Linked DNA regions of Ovis aries. The protein of the gene in region 1 purifies or fractionates together with the protein of each later gene. This does not show direct contact. Links are inferred from orthologs where the notes say so. Each region holds a gene or a part of one and is shown in the gene's direction. Other genes may lie near its edges. The genes, in order: RAB11B, RAB11FIP1 and PI4KB.

Region 1 (4,152 bases):
GCAAACTCTGGGAGATGGTGACGGACAGGGAAGCCTGGGGTGCTGCAGCCCATGGGATCGCAAAGAGTTGGACACAACTGAGTTACTGAACACCACAACCATCTGGGAATTATCTTTGTTTGATAGATGAGATGCTGCTTGATTCATGAATCTTTTAATAAGGGCAATAAGATCTTCACATTTACTCAGTTGAATTTTGTTTATTAACAGGATTGAGAGGGAAATACATACTTTAATGTCAAGGGAAGATAAATAAATCCTCCTTACGGGGGAGGAGATGTGGAATAAAGCAGGATAAAGAGACAGAGAAGGGGAGAGTGTCTGACATCCCACATGTTGTTGTTTAGTCACTCAGTCGTGTCCAACTCTTTGCGACCCTATGGACTGTAGCCCACCAGGCTCCTCTGTTCATGGGATTCTTCAGGCAAGAATACTAGAGTGGGTTGCCATTTCCTTCTCCAGAGTCAAACCTGCGTCTCCCGCTTGGCAGTGGGATTCTGACATCCAGTAAGGATTTATAAATATTTGTTAAACAAAGACCCAATGACTGACGGTGGGTGGTAGATTAAGTATCTGTTTAGGTAAATGATCTAGTTATACTCCAAGATTCCCTAAGGTTTCTTCCCTGTTATACAGAGTGAGGAAACTGAGGCCACTGCAGGGATGGAAACTGCAACCCAGAAAGAAGGGGACCTCTAAGAAGAAAAGGTCCACACGCAGACTCCAGGAGCTGTCATTTACTGGGGCAGCGAGGGTGGGAGTGAGCGTACCGCAGAGCAGCGCGCATTGACCTATGACGTCATCGGGACGTTAAATAGCGTAACACTACCTGGACGTAGCCCTATTTCCCTTCCCGGACAGGTCCTCTGATGGCCCGGTACCATCAGAATCAAACCTCTCATTGGCTACTCCCCCCGTCAATCCGTTCCATTCTTCCAGTCTTCCGCCCCGCCTTCCAGAACTCGCTTCTGATAGGCTGGTGAAGCTGTCACTTCGGAAAGGTCCGCATTCCTTCCGCCTTTCTCCAGGAGACCGAGGGCGAAGAAGGTGGGTCTCCGGAGGCGCCCACCCCGGAGGCTCTGCTTCCGTCTCTTATTGGCTGCCCTGGGTGCCGGTCGCTACACCACCCACCGTTGATTGGCCATTCGGCCGCCGCTCTGCGCGGCGCCGGCTCCGCCCCCGTCGGGTGTTTGTGGTGGGGCTGCGGAGTCGCCGATCCCGCCGGAAGCGCCAGGACAATGGGGACCCGGGACGACGAGTACGACTACCTATTCAAAGGTGCGGTCGGTGGGGCACAGACGGGCAAGCGGGCGGTAGTAGGCAGGAGCTGAGGCTGCGCTTCAGGCCTCTGGGCCTAGGCCGGAGCCCAAAGCTTGGGGCCCGGCAGGCCGGGCAGCCGGGAAAGCCAGTGAAGGCCGGTCTTGGTCAAGTTCGGGCCAGGGTGCGCGGCCATGCGAGGCCGGCTGCCCAGAGAGGCTTGGGGGCCCGGGATGCGCCGAGGCGGGGCTAGGGCCCAGAGGGGGTGGGGCCCCGGGCAGTGGGAGAGGCCGTTAGGGGCGGTGCCTTCAGAGGGGCGGGGCCGCCCCAGCATTTGGCGGGCCGGGCTGAGTGGAAAGCTCCCTTCGTGATGGGGGCGGGGCCGTTAGAGGCGGTGCTAGGATGTGGTGGGCGTGTCCAAGAAATGGGCTGGGCGAATGGGGGCGGTGCTCTCACCGAGTGGGAGGGGCCTGTTTTGATTAGTGGCAGTGCATCTGTAGGTTGCCCGGGAAGGTAGGGGCGAACAATGGGGGTCAAGGTGTGTGTGGGGGGGCCTGGACCCTGGATTGGGAAGTGGAGTCGGAAATGCGTTGAGGGGCACCTGAGTTGGGGGAGGTGCCGGGAGTTAGGGACTGTGTGCTAAACCCAGACCTGATGGTTAACTCTTAGAACTCTTAAGAGCACTCTCCAAGTACCTGCACTTTTCTAAGCACTTTACACACGTGAATTCATTGAAGCCCTCGCCACCACCCTGTGAGGTCGGTATTGTATTATCCAGTCTTTCTCTTTACGAACCTGGAAACAGGCACAGTTTATGTGCTGGAGCAGGATTTGAACCCAGACCACTTAAGCAGTGTATCTGGGGTTGTCAGATCTGAGTGGGGTTGTCAGACCTCCTCCTCCAGCCTACCGAAGGATCTTTCTTGGCCAGGGAACAGAGGGCTCTAGGAGCTTCAAGTAAGAGGTGGGCAGGTCAGGCATCCATTGCTGGGCTGGCTTTGGGGTCACTGACTTTCCAGAGCCTTCTGTGCCAACCTGGGCTTTGGCCAGGTCCTGTGCCGCTGAGCTGTGCTCCCTGGCCAACACTGGCCACCCTTGAGAGCTAACTTCAGACCCACTCAGGACACCCTTGCCATGCTACCTCCCATGCCAGCCTTTGGCAACTTTGCCTCATTGGGGGAGCTTGGTCATGGCTGTGAATGTAGTGTGTTCGTCACCATGTGTCTGTGGTATCATCCCCGGTTGAGTCTGGGGTTCTGGGGACCTTGGGGATGTAGAAAGTGGGCTCTCCAGTGGTGAACGGTTTCTGGGCAGAGGGAGTCCCTGTGCCACTCTGTCACACAGCATTGTGGGCTCCAGGAGCTGCTTGCAAGCTCATAGGTTGCCAGCAGGTGAGGCTCTGTGGTCGGCAGGCATTGGGCTCAGGTGCTGACTGAGTCCTGGGGGGTCTCACTTTAGAGGCGAGAATGGACACTCTGTCAGGGCTTTGAGGGTGGGTGACAGGTGACCTGGATGCCAGTCCTGCAGCAGATGGTGCCTGTGTCTACCCAGCCTACTCCAGGGGACTGCTCCCCAGGTGCTGACTGGCCCCCACCTGCATGTGTAACTGCTGAGGCAGGCCTGGGCAGGGGCTGTTCCTCCCAGGGTCTCTTTTCTTTTCTAAATATTATTTATTTGGCTGCATCAGGACTTAGTTGCGGCATGTGGGATCTAGTACCCTGACCAAGGATCGAACCCTGGCCCCCTTGCATTGGGAGCATGGCGTCTTAGCCACTGGACCACCAGGGAAATTCCCCCTCCCAGTGTTTCTGTGGTCCTTCCTCACTTGTTATTTGCAGGGCTGGTTTAGGGGTCACTGACTTTCCAGAGCATTCTGTGCCAACCTAGGCTTTGATCAGGTCCTATGCTGCTGAGCTGGGCTCCCCAGCTGACATTGGCCACCCTTGAGAGCTAATTCCAGGCCCACTCGGAACACAACCATTTGTTGTTGTTAATAATCCAGTTCCAAGTGTTTGCACGAGTCATCTTTTGTCCTGTGGTTTATTTCCTTGAAGTCTGTTCCCAGAAGTACAGTTACTGGGTCAGGGGCACTGGAACTGGGCTGTGCGCTTCCCAGGACCCATCTCCTGAGTCCTCTTTCTGGAAATACTTCAGGGACAACTGGCCCCAGGGGGCAATGCCTGCCTGCCCCACTGCCCTCTCCGCCTGCGCTCCAGCAGGTGCCCTGCTGACCTTGAACTGGGTCAGAAGTGACAGTCTAACCCACAAGGTCAGCGGTTCCCAGTCTGGTCATCTGAGACCTCACCTTCACACTTAATGCCTTGTGAGAGGACCTCTCTATTATTTTTTGACCCTCTATTATTTATTTTTGGCTGTGCTAGGTCTTTGTTGCTGTGCAGAATTTTCTCTTGTTGCGGCAAGCGGGGGCTACTTTCTGTGGGCTTCTCATTGCTATGGCTTCTCTTGTTGCAGAGCATAGACACTAGGGCATGCGTACTTCAGTAGTTTCGGCTCCCAGGCTCAATAATTGTGGCACACAGGCTTAGCTGCCCAGTGGCATGAGGGATCATCCTGGACCAGGGGTCGAACCTGTGTCTCCTACACTGGCAGGCAGTTCTTTACCACTGAGCCACCAGGGAAGGACCCCCGCCCCCCGCCAATTATCTTTTAATATTTGTCTGTGAATCCACTCAGTTAAATAGGAAAAGGAAATTCTGACTCTGGGAAATAAAGAAGGAAGACACCAGGCAGGTGAGCTGCCACCATCGCATCACTGGCCATAAATATGGCGAGTGGACAGAAACGCGAATACGCTTCCCCCCATAGGCCATCCTGCGACCCCGTGGCCTACAGAGGGTCAGGCCTGGGCAGTAGAGAGGTGTCCAGACACAGCTG
Region 2 (2,457 bases), on another chromosome or scaffold:
CATGACTACTGGAAAAACCATAGCTTTGACTAGACAGACTTTGTTGGCAAAGTAATATCTCTGCTTTTTAATATGCTATCTGGGTTGGTCATAACTTTTCTTCCCAGGAGCAAGCGTCTTTTAATTTCATGGCTGCAGTCACCATCTGCAGTGATTTTGGAGCCCAAGAAAATAAAATCTGTCACTGTTTCCATTGTTTCCCCATCTGTTTGCCATGAAGTGATGGGACTGGATGCCATGATCTTAGTTTTCTGAATGTTGAGCTTTAAGCCAGCTTTTTCACTCTCCTCTTTCACTTTCATCAGGAGGCTCTTTAGTTCTTCACTTTCTGCCATAAGAGTGGTGTCATCTGCATATCTGAGGTTATTGATATTTCTCCCGGCAATCTTGATTCCAGCTTGTGCTTCATCCAGTCCAGCATTTCTCATGATGTACTCTGCATATAAGTGAAATATAAGTTAAATATACCAACCTCGTGGTAGGGCCAAAAGGAAAAAAAAAAAGAAAGAAAAGGTAATGAAACAAAAAAACCAAACCAAAAGACGAACATGCAGCAAAGGCCATCTGTGGCCTGGGCAACGTGAGATACTAACTCTCTGGCCCTTTACAGAAAGCTTCGTTGGCACAGATTTTCACTGAAATTGCAAATGAATTCCCAGGAGACTCAGATCACAGACTCAATCACTAAAAGCTACCTCTTCTGTATTTCTTTTATTTACTTATAACTAGTTATTTGTTCATAAATATTTACTTGGCTCTGCCAGGTTTTAGCTGAGCCACACAGGGTCTTAGTTGTGCCTTGTGGACTCTTAGTTGTAGCATGTGGGATCTAGTTCCCTGGCTGGGGACTGAACCTGGGTCCCCTGCATTGGGAACGTGGAGTCTTAGCTACTGGACCACCAAGGAAGTCCCGGTATTTCTCTGAGATGTTTGACCTCTTGGCTGACTTTGTCAATTTTCTTGTTGTCTCCCCTTCCCGCCCTCCCGCCAAAGAAATACAAGCCCTCGGACCCTGCATTTGCCTACGTGCAGCTGACCCACGACGAGCTCATTCAGCTGGTCCTCAAACAGAAGGAAACGATCAGCAAGAAGGAATGTCAGGTGCGCCAACTGGAAGACTACATCGACAACCTGCTGGTCAGGGTCATGGAGGAGACCCCGAACATCCTCCGGGTTCCCTCTCAGGTCGGCAAAAAAGCAGGAAAGATGTGATCCGCCGGCCTCCAGCATCGAGACTCTGCCGTGAGTCTGTCTCCACCAGCTCCTGAGGCCGAGGACTCGCTGTGCCCGACAGCCGGGCACAGATTGCCATCTTCCTCCTAGGTTATCTGGCAGGAGTCCCTCCCACCCACGTAAGCCAGGTCAATGACTACAATGGATCTTTTCACTGTCCATTCCCAGGGTTTCATTTTTAAATGCCACTGTGCCTTTAACCACGTTGTAAATATTTTATGGTCTGACCGGAGACATGGTCATAAGATCTGATCCTGGCCCAGAGGTTCAGATGGCACTGGGGGGTATTAATTAATGTATTTTAAACATTGGGATTTTCTTTCTTTGAATTTGAGATTTTTAAAGTACATCTCCCCCCGGTCTTTAAAGCTTCAGGTGAGATGACAAGGACCAGGCGATTGGGGCTGTGTTGCACATACCTTCTTGGCATTTGAGTAGCTCAGGCTTGGCATTTTGGCTGCAGATGCTAAATTTTTGATACCTTGTAAACGTGCTTGACTCCTCGGACTTGGTCTTTTGTTTTGACTGGAGCAGAGGAGTGCAGAGTGTGCCTTTGAGATTTATAACAAGCTGCTTTTTCCAGACATCAGCCTCTACACCACAGTAGCCTTTAAAATCTGCTCTTTATCAATGGAGAGGGGCTGTCTATGGAGGGAAGCAGACCAGGAGACTTAGAGTCACTTTGCACTCAAGGGAATTGGTCAAAACCCCTCCTCTGGTGATCACAGAGCCCCTGTGACTGGAGTGGCCGAGACAGTGCCTTGATTAGCCATCGAGTGCCCCAGGCGCTTGCTAAAATGGTTCTACCAGGTGTGGAGCGATGGCAGGGGGTCCGTTGGCCCTCTCCCCCCATGTCTTCGCTTGGCTCCCTGGTTTCCTTGGCAGCTCTTCGTGGCCTCTTCCCTCCTTAGTATAACATTGTGAAGAGCAAGATGATATCTATTTTTAGATGGCTGTGTTTTTAAAACTAGATTGACACACTTTTTTTTTTTTTTTTTAAACTAGGACCCCTTAACTAATAGCACCAGTTCAGATTCTTCAGGGCTTCCCTGGTGGTTCAGCGGTAGAGAATCCTGCTGCCAATGCAGGAGATGGGGGTTCTATCCCTGGGTTGGGAAGATCCCCTGGAGACTCTTCAGGTAATTTCATTGTTAGTAACCCGATATTAGAATGTTTTCTATATTACTCATTTTTTGTTGTTGTTCCAGTTGAGACAGAATCTCA
Region 3 (3,651 bases), on another chromosome or scaffold:
TTCCTTTCAGAACTTCCTGGTCCTCAGTGGGATAACAGGGTTTTACTTACTCGATGGCCTAGATTCCAAGGCCACCAAGGATGGGAACTGTCTGAGATTGGGAACAGAAGGGATGTTGGCCTCATCCTCTCATTTAGAGTCTTAATGCCACTGTGTGCTTCCTCACAGTCCATTTGGGAACAGGAGCGAGTACCCCTGTGGATCAAGCCATATAAGATCCTCGTGATCTCGGCCGACAGTGGCATGATTGAACCGGTGGTCAACGCTGTGTCCATACACCAGGTGAAGAAGCAGTCGCAGCTCTCCCTGCTCGATTACTTCCTACAGGAGCATGGCAGCTACACCACTGAGGCCTTCCTCAGCGCCCAGCGCAATTTTGTGCAGAGTTGTGCTGGCTACTGCTTGGTCTGCTATCTGCTGCAGGTCAAGGACAGGTAGGTGAATTCCTGTCCCTCATCCTTAGCTTTTCTCCAGGGTTTCCTGTCTCCCCATTTATTCATCACCACCTTCCACTGCCAAGATATGAAGATGAAACAAACACATTTTAGGTCGAGACAGATGTATTCCTGTGCTGTTAAGGCAAGGAGGCAGACTGACAAGTACCAGGGCAAGGGGCAAAGAAGTGAAGCATTTATGGGAGGAGCAGGGGTCTGAGCATGCAGAGTCTTGAAAGACAAAGGAGAATGAGGACAGAGAAAGCTGTGGATGGAAAAGGAAGGATGTTCCAGGCAGAGGAAACAGCTCGAGATCCTTTAAGCACGAGCCACACTGCATGGCACAGTAACAGTGACGTCACGTAAGTCGAGGCTGGATTAGTAGGGCCTTCATGAGGCCCAGGAGGTTTATTCTGCAGGCAGAGGAAACACCGTGAGCCAGTCTGTGTTGAGTGAGTGTGCCCTGTGGCACTGTGGGCAGGGTGGATCAGTGGACCTTCAGCTGTCAAACAAGAGGTGATGAGGCCTGGTGTGAGGGCAGTGGTAGAGACTGAGAGCAGAGAGGAGCAGATGAATATGAAAGACACGGTGGACACAAGTTGAAACTCCCAGCTCTGAATTCTCCTCTTGTGGCATATGATTTCCAAAACTCAAGTTGTTTTGCGCAGAGCTGCCATTTCTGCCAGTATCATGTGACCTTTAGGAAGCTCGTCTTTGCACATAGGTGAACAACATACCACACAAAGGTTGTTACACCCTTGAGGCCCTGTTTTTAAGACTGTCTCCAGACAGTGACTCAGGGTCAGTACTGGACTGCAGCTGTGAGTTGTGCCTCTCAGGGCACAGGGCAGCTGTCCTGGGAAAGCACTAGCCCAGTGGCCTGTGCTTCCAGGGTTCCCAGTGGCATGGCAGCACATTAAGGTTAGCCAGCGGAGCCGCTTATCAGAGATCTAGCATCTGTTAGGTGCCTGCGATGCCTGACATTGTTTAAAATTGAAGTATAGTTGATTTGCAATATCATGTTAGTTTCAAGTATACGGCAAAGCGATTCAGTTATGTATATATATGTATGTGTGTGCGTGCATACACAGAAGCCTGGTGGGTTCAGTCCATGGAGCTGCAGAGTCAGACACGACTTAGTGACTAAACTATGTGTGTGTGTGTGTGTGTTGCTTAGTCGTGTCCAATTCTTTGCAACCCCATAGACTGTAGCTCACGAGGCTCCTCTGTCTATGGAATTCTCCAGGCAAGACTACTAGAGTGGGTCGCCTAGAGGATCTTCCCAACCCAGGGATTGAACCCAGGTCTCCCACATTGCAGGCAGATTCTTTACCATCCGAGTCACAGGGATATATATACACAGACACACATACATATTCTTTATCAGATTCTTTTCCATTATAGATTAATACAAGATATTGAATATATTTCCCTGTGCTATACAATAAATTCTTGTTTATTTTATATAAAGCAGTGTGTATCTGTTAATCCCTCCTAATTTATCCTCCCTTCCCCTCTGGTAACCATTGATTTTCTGTGTCTGTGAGTCTATTCCTGTTTTGTAAATAAGTTCACTTATTACTCTACCATAATATTTATCTTTTTGTCTGACTTATTTCAGTTAGTGTGATGATTTCTAGGTCCATGCATGTTGCTGCTAATGGCATTATTTCATTCCGTTTTTATGGCTGAGTAAAACTTGGTTCCAAGCTTTAGACTGTCTCTCAAGAGTCAGGATTTGGAACCCAGGGCCCAGAGAGCCTAGAGCCTGAGCCCCTATGTTGAGTAAGTGGGGGCAGGGAAGCAGGTGATACTCAGGCCTCTGGGCTTTTCTTTAGGAAACTAATATATTTAAACGATGAGAGTCCATCCTTTAAAAGTGGAGGAAGAGACGGGCAGCTGGTAAATCTTTCATTATAACTCAAAAAAGAATAGAGGTAGTTAAGTCCTGAATGGACTCATCCACTGGTGAGAAGCCTCAGCAGTGAAGGGGCCCCCGAACGAGTGTTTCAGAATGAGGGCCCTGCAGCAGTGCAGCGGTTAAGGAGGGAAGCGTGACTGCCCTTCATCCACTGGCTTGGGGCCTTTCACAAGTCAGTCGTTTCTTCTCTCAGGGCTTGTCTCCTCACCTGTAAAATGCGAGGCTGGACTAGGACATCTGGGGCTTTCTGGCTCTCAAGATTGAGTGTTGCTGAATTTGTTATGCTTCCCCAGAAGGGTAGAGACTCAGATGGGACTGGGTTATCCCTGTCCCTCTTCTTTTGGCCAGTCAAACCAACCCCAGAGAAGGTGGCCTCAGACCGTGAGCTCTTAGCCTAACAAAGCCTCTTTTGACTCTGAGGAGGTCCCTTATGGGCCAGGCCTCACATGCTTAGCATGTTAATTTTTCCCCTCCGACTGGCCATTCATATAGGAATCACAAAGACCTGGGATTTCTCTCTTGTCTTCATGCAGCTAGCCTGTAGGAATTGCCTCCTGGGAATTTTTTTACATAAGTGGTTTTACCAGACAGTTAAAGCTGACTCTTTGAAGCCCCCACACTATTTTACATTTAAACTCCACTCAGCCTGGGATTGCTGTTCCCTTCCAGTGGGGTTTCTGATTTGCAGTGGGCCAACAGGAATTACAAACAAAACACAGGTAATTAGGTTGTAACTGGCCGCCTCCCACTAAGCCAAGTGCTTGGCCTCTGTGACAGCTGGCCAGAGTGCAGAGGCTGGCTTTTCTAGCTTTCCAGTTCTTTACTAGATTGGGATTGGGTGCTTAGAAGCGCGATTATTGGGAAATGGGGATAATCTTAAAACTCTGTTATTGTTAATGATAGCAAGTGAGACCCCATTGCCTTTGTTAGCAGTCTACTTTTCTAATTTCCTTTCTTCCTCCTGCCAGCTTTGGGTTCTAGGGGCTGGACCCAGAGTTCAGCAGGAAAAGTGGCAGGGCCCTTGCCTGGTGTCGTGTGGCCAGTGTGTTGCAGCTTCAGCTCCCACCTCAATCGGACTTCCTACTGTCTCTTCCTCCCATCTGCCCCCTCCTCAGACACAATGGGAACATCCTGTTGGATGCAGAAGGCCACATCATCCACATCGACTTTGGCTTCATCCTGTCCAGCTCACCCCGAAACCTGGGCTTTGAGACATCAGCCTTCAAGCTGACCACGGAGTTTGTGGACGTGAGTGAGGAAAGAGAGGTGCCTCACTGTGGTGTCATGGGAGGGGCA

The links.
Region 2: the proteins of RAB11B (region 1) and RAB11FIP1 purify together in Homo sapiens (affinity purification with mass spectrometry; 3 studies listed by BioGRID and IntAct, counting the BioPlex papers as one, with this or other methods). This does not show direct contact. The link is inferred for Ovis aries from reciprocal best matches to the Homo sapiens genes RAB11B and RAB11FIP1.
Region 3: the proteins of RAB11B (region 1) and PI4KB purify together in Homo sapiens (co-immunoprecipitation; 3 studies listed by BioGRID and IntAct, with this or other methods). This does not show direct contact. The link is inferred for Ovis aries from reciprocal best matches to the Homo sapiens genes RAB11B and PI4KB.

The regions. Positions count from the first base shown.
Region 1 is NC_056058.1:14,761,993-14,766,144, forward strand, and holds the start of RAB11B (ras-related protein Rab-11B), read left to right. Parts: upstream 1-1,223; 5' UTR 1,224-1,238; coding exon 1,239-1,278; intron 1,279-4,152. UniProt on the Homo sapiens protein: The small GTPases Rab are key regulators of intracellular membrane trafficking, from the formation of transport vesicles to their fusion with membranes.
Region 2 is NC_056079.1:32,209,406-32,211,862, reverse strand, and holds part of RAB11FIP1 (rab11 family-interacting protein 1), read left to right. Parts: intron 1-993; coding exon 994-1,212; 3' UTR 1,213-2,457. UniProt on the Homo sapiens protein: A Rab11 effector protein involved in the endosomal recycling process. Also involved in controlling membrane trafficking along the phagocytic pathway and in phagocytosis. Interaction with RAB14 may function in the process of neurite formation.
Region 3 is NC_056054.1:101,206,234-101,209,884, reverse strand, and holds part of PI4KB (phosphatidylinositol 4-kinase beta), read left to right. Parts: intron 1-168; coding exon 169-434; intron 435-3,470; coding exon 3,471-3,603; intron 3,604-3,651. UniProt on the Homo sapiens protein: Phosphorylates phosphatidylinositol (PI) in the first committed step in the production of the second messenger inositol-1,4,5,-trisphosphate (PIP). May regulate Golgi disintegration/reorganization during mitosis, possibly via its phosphorylation.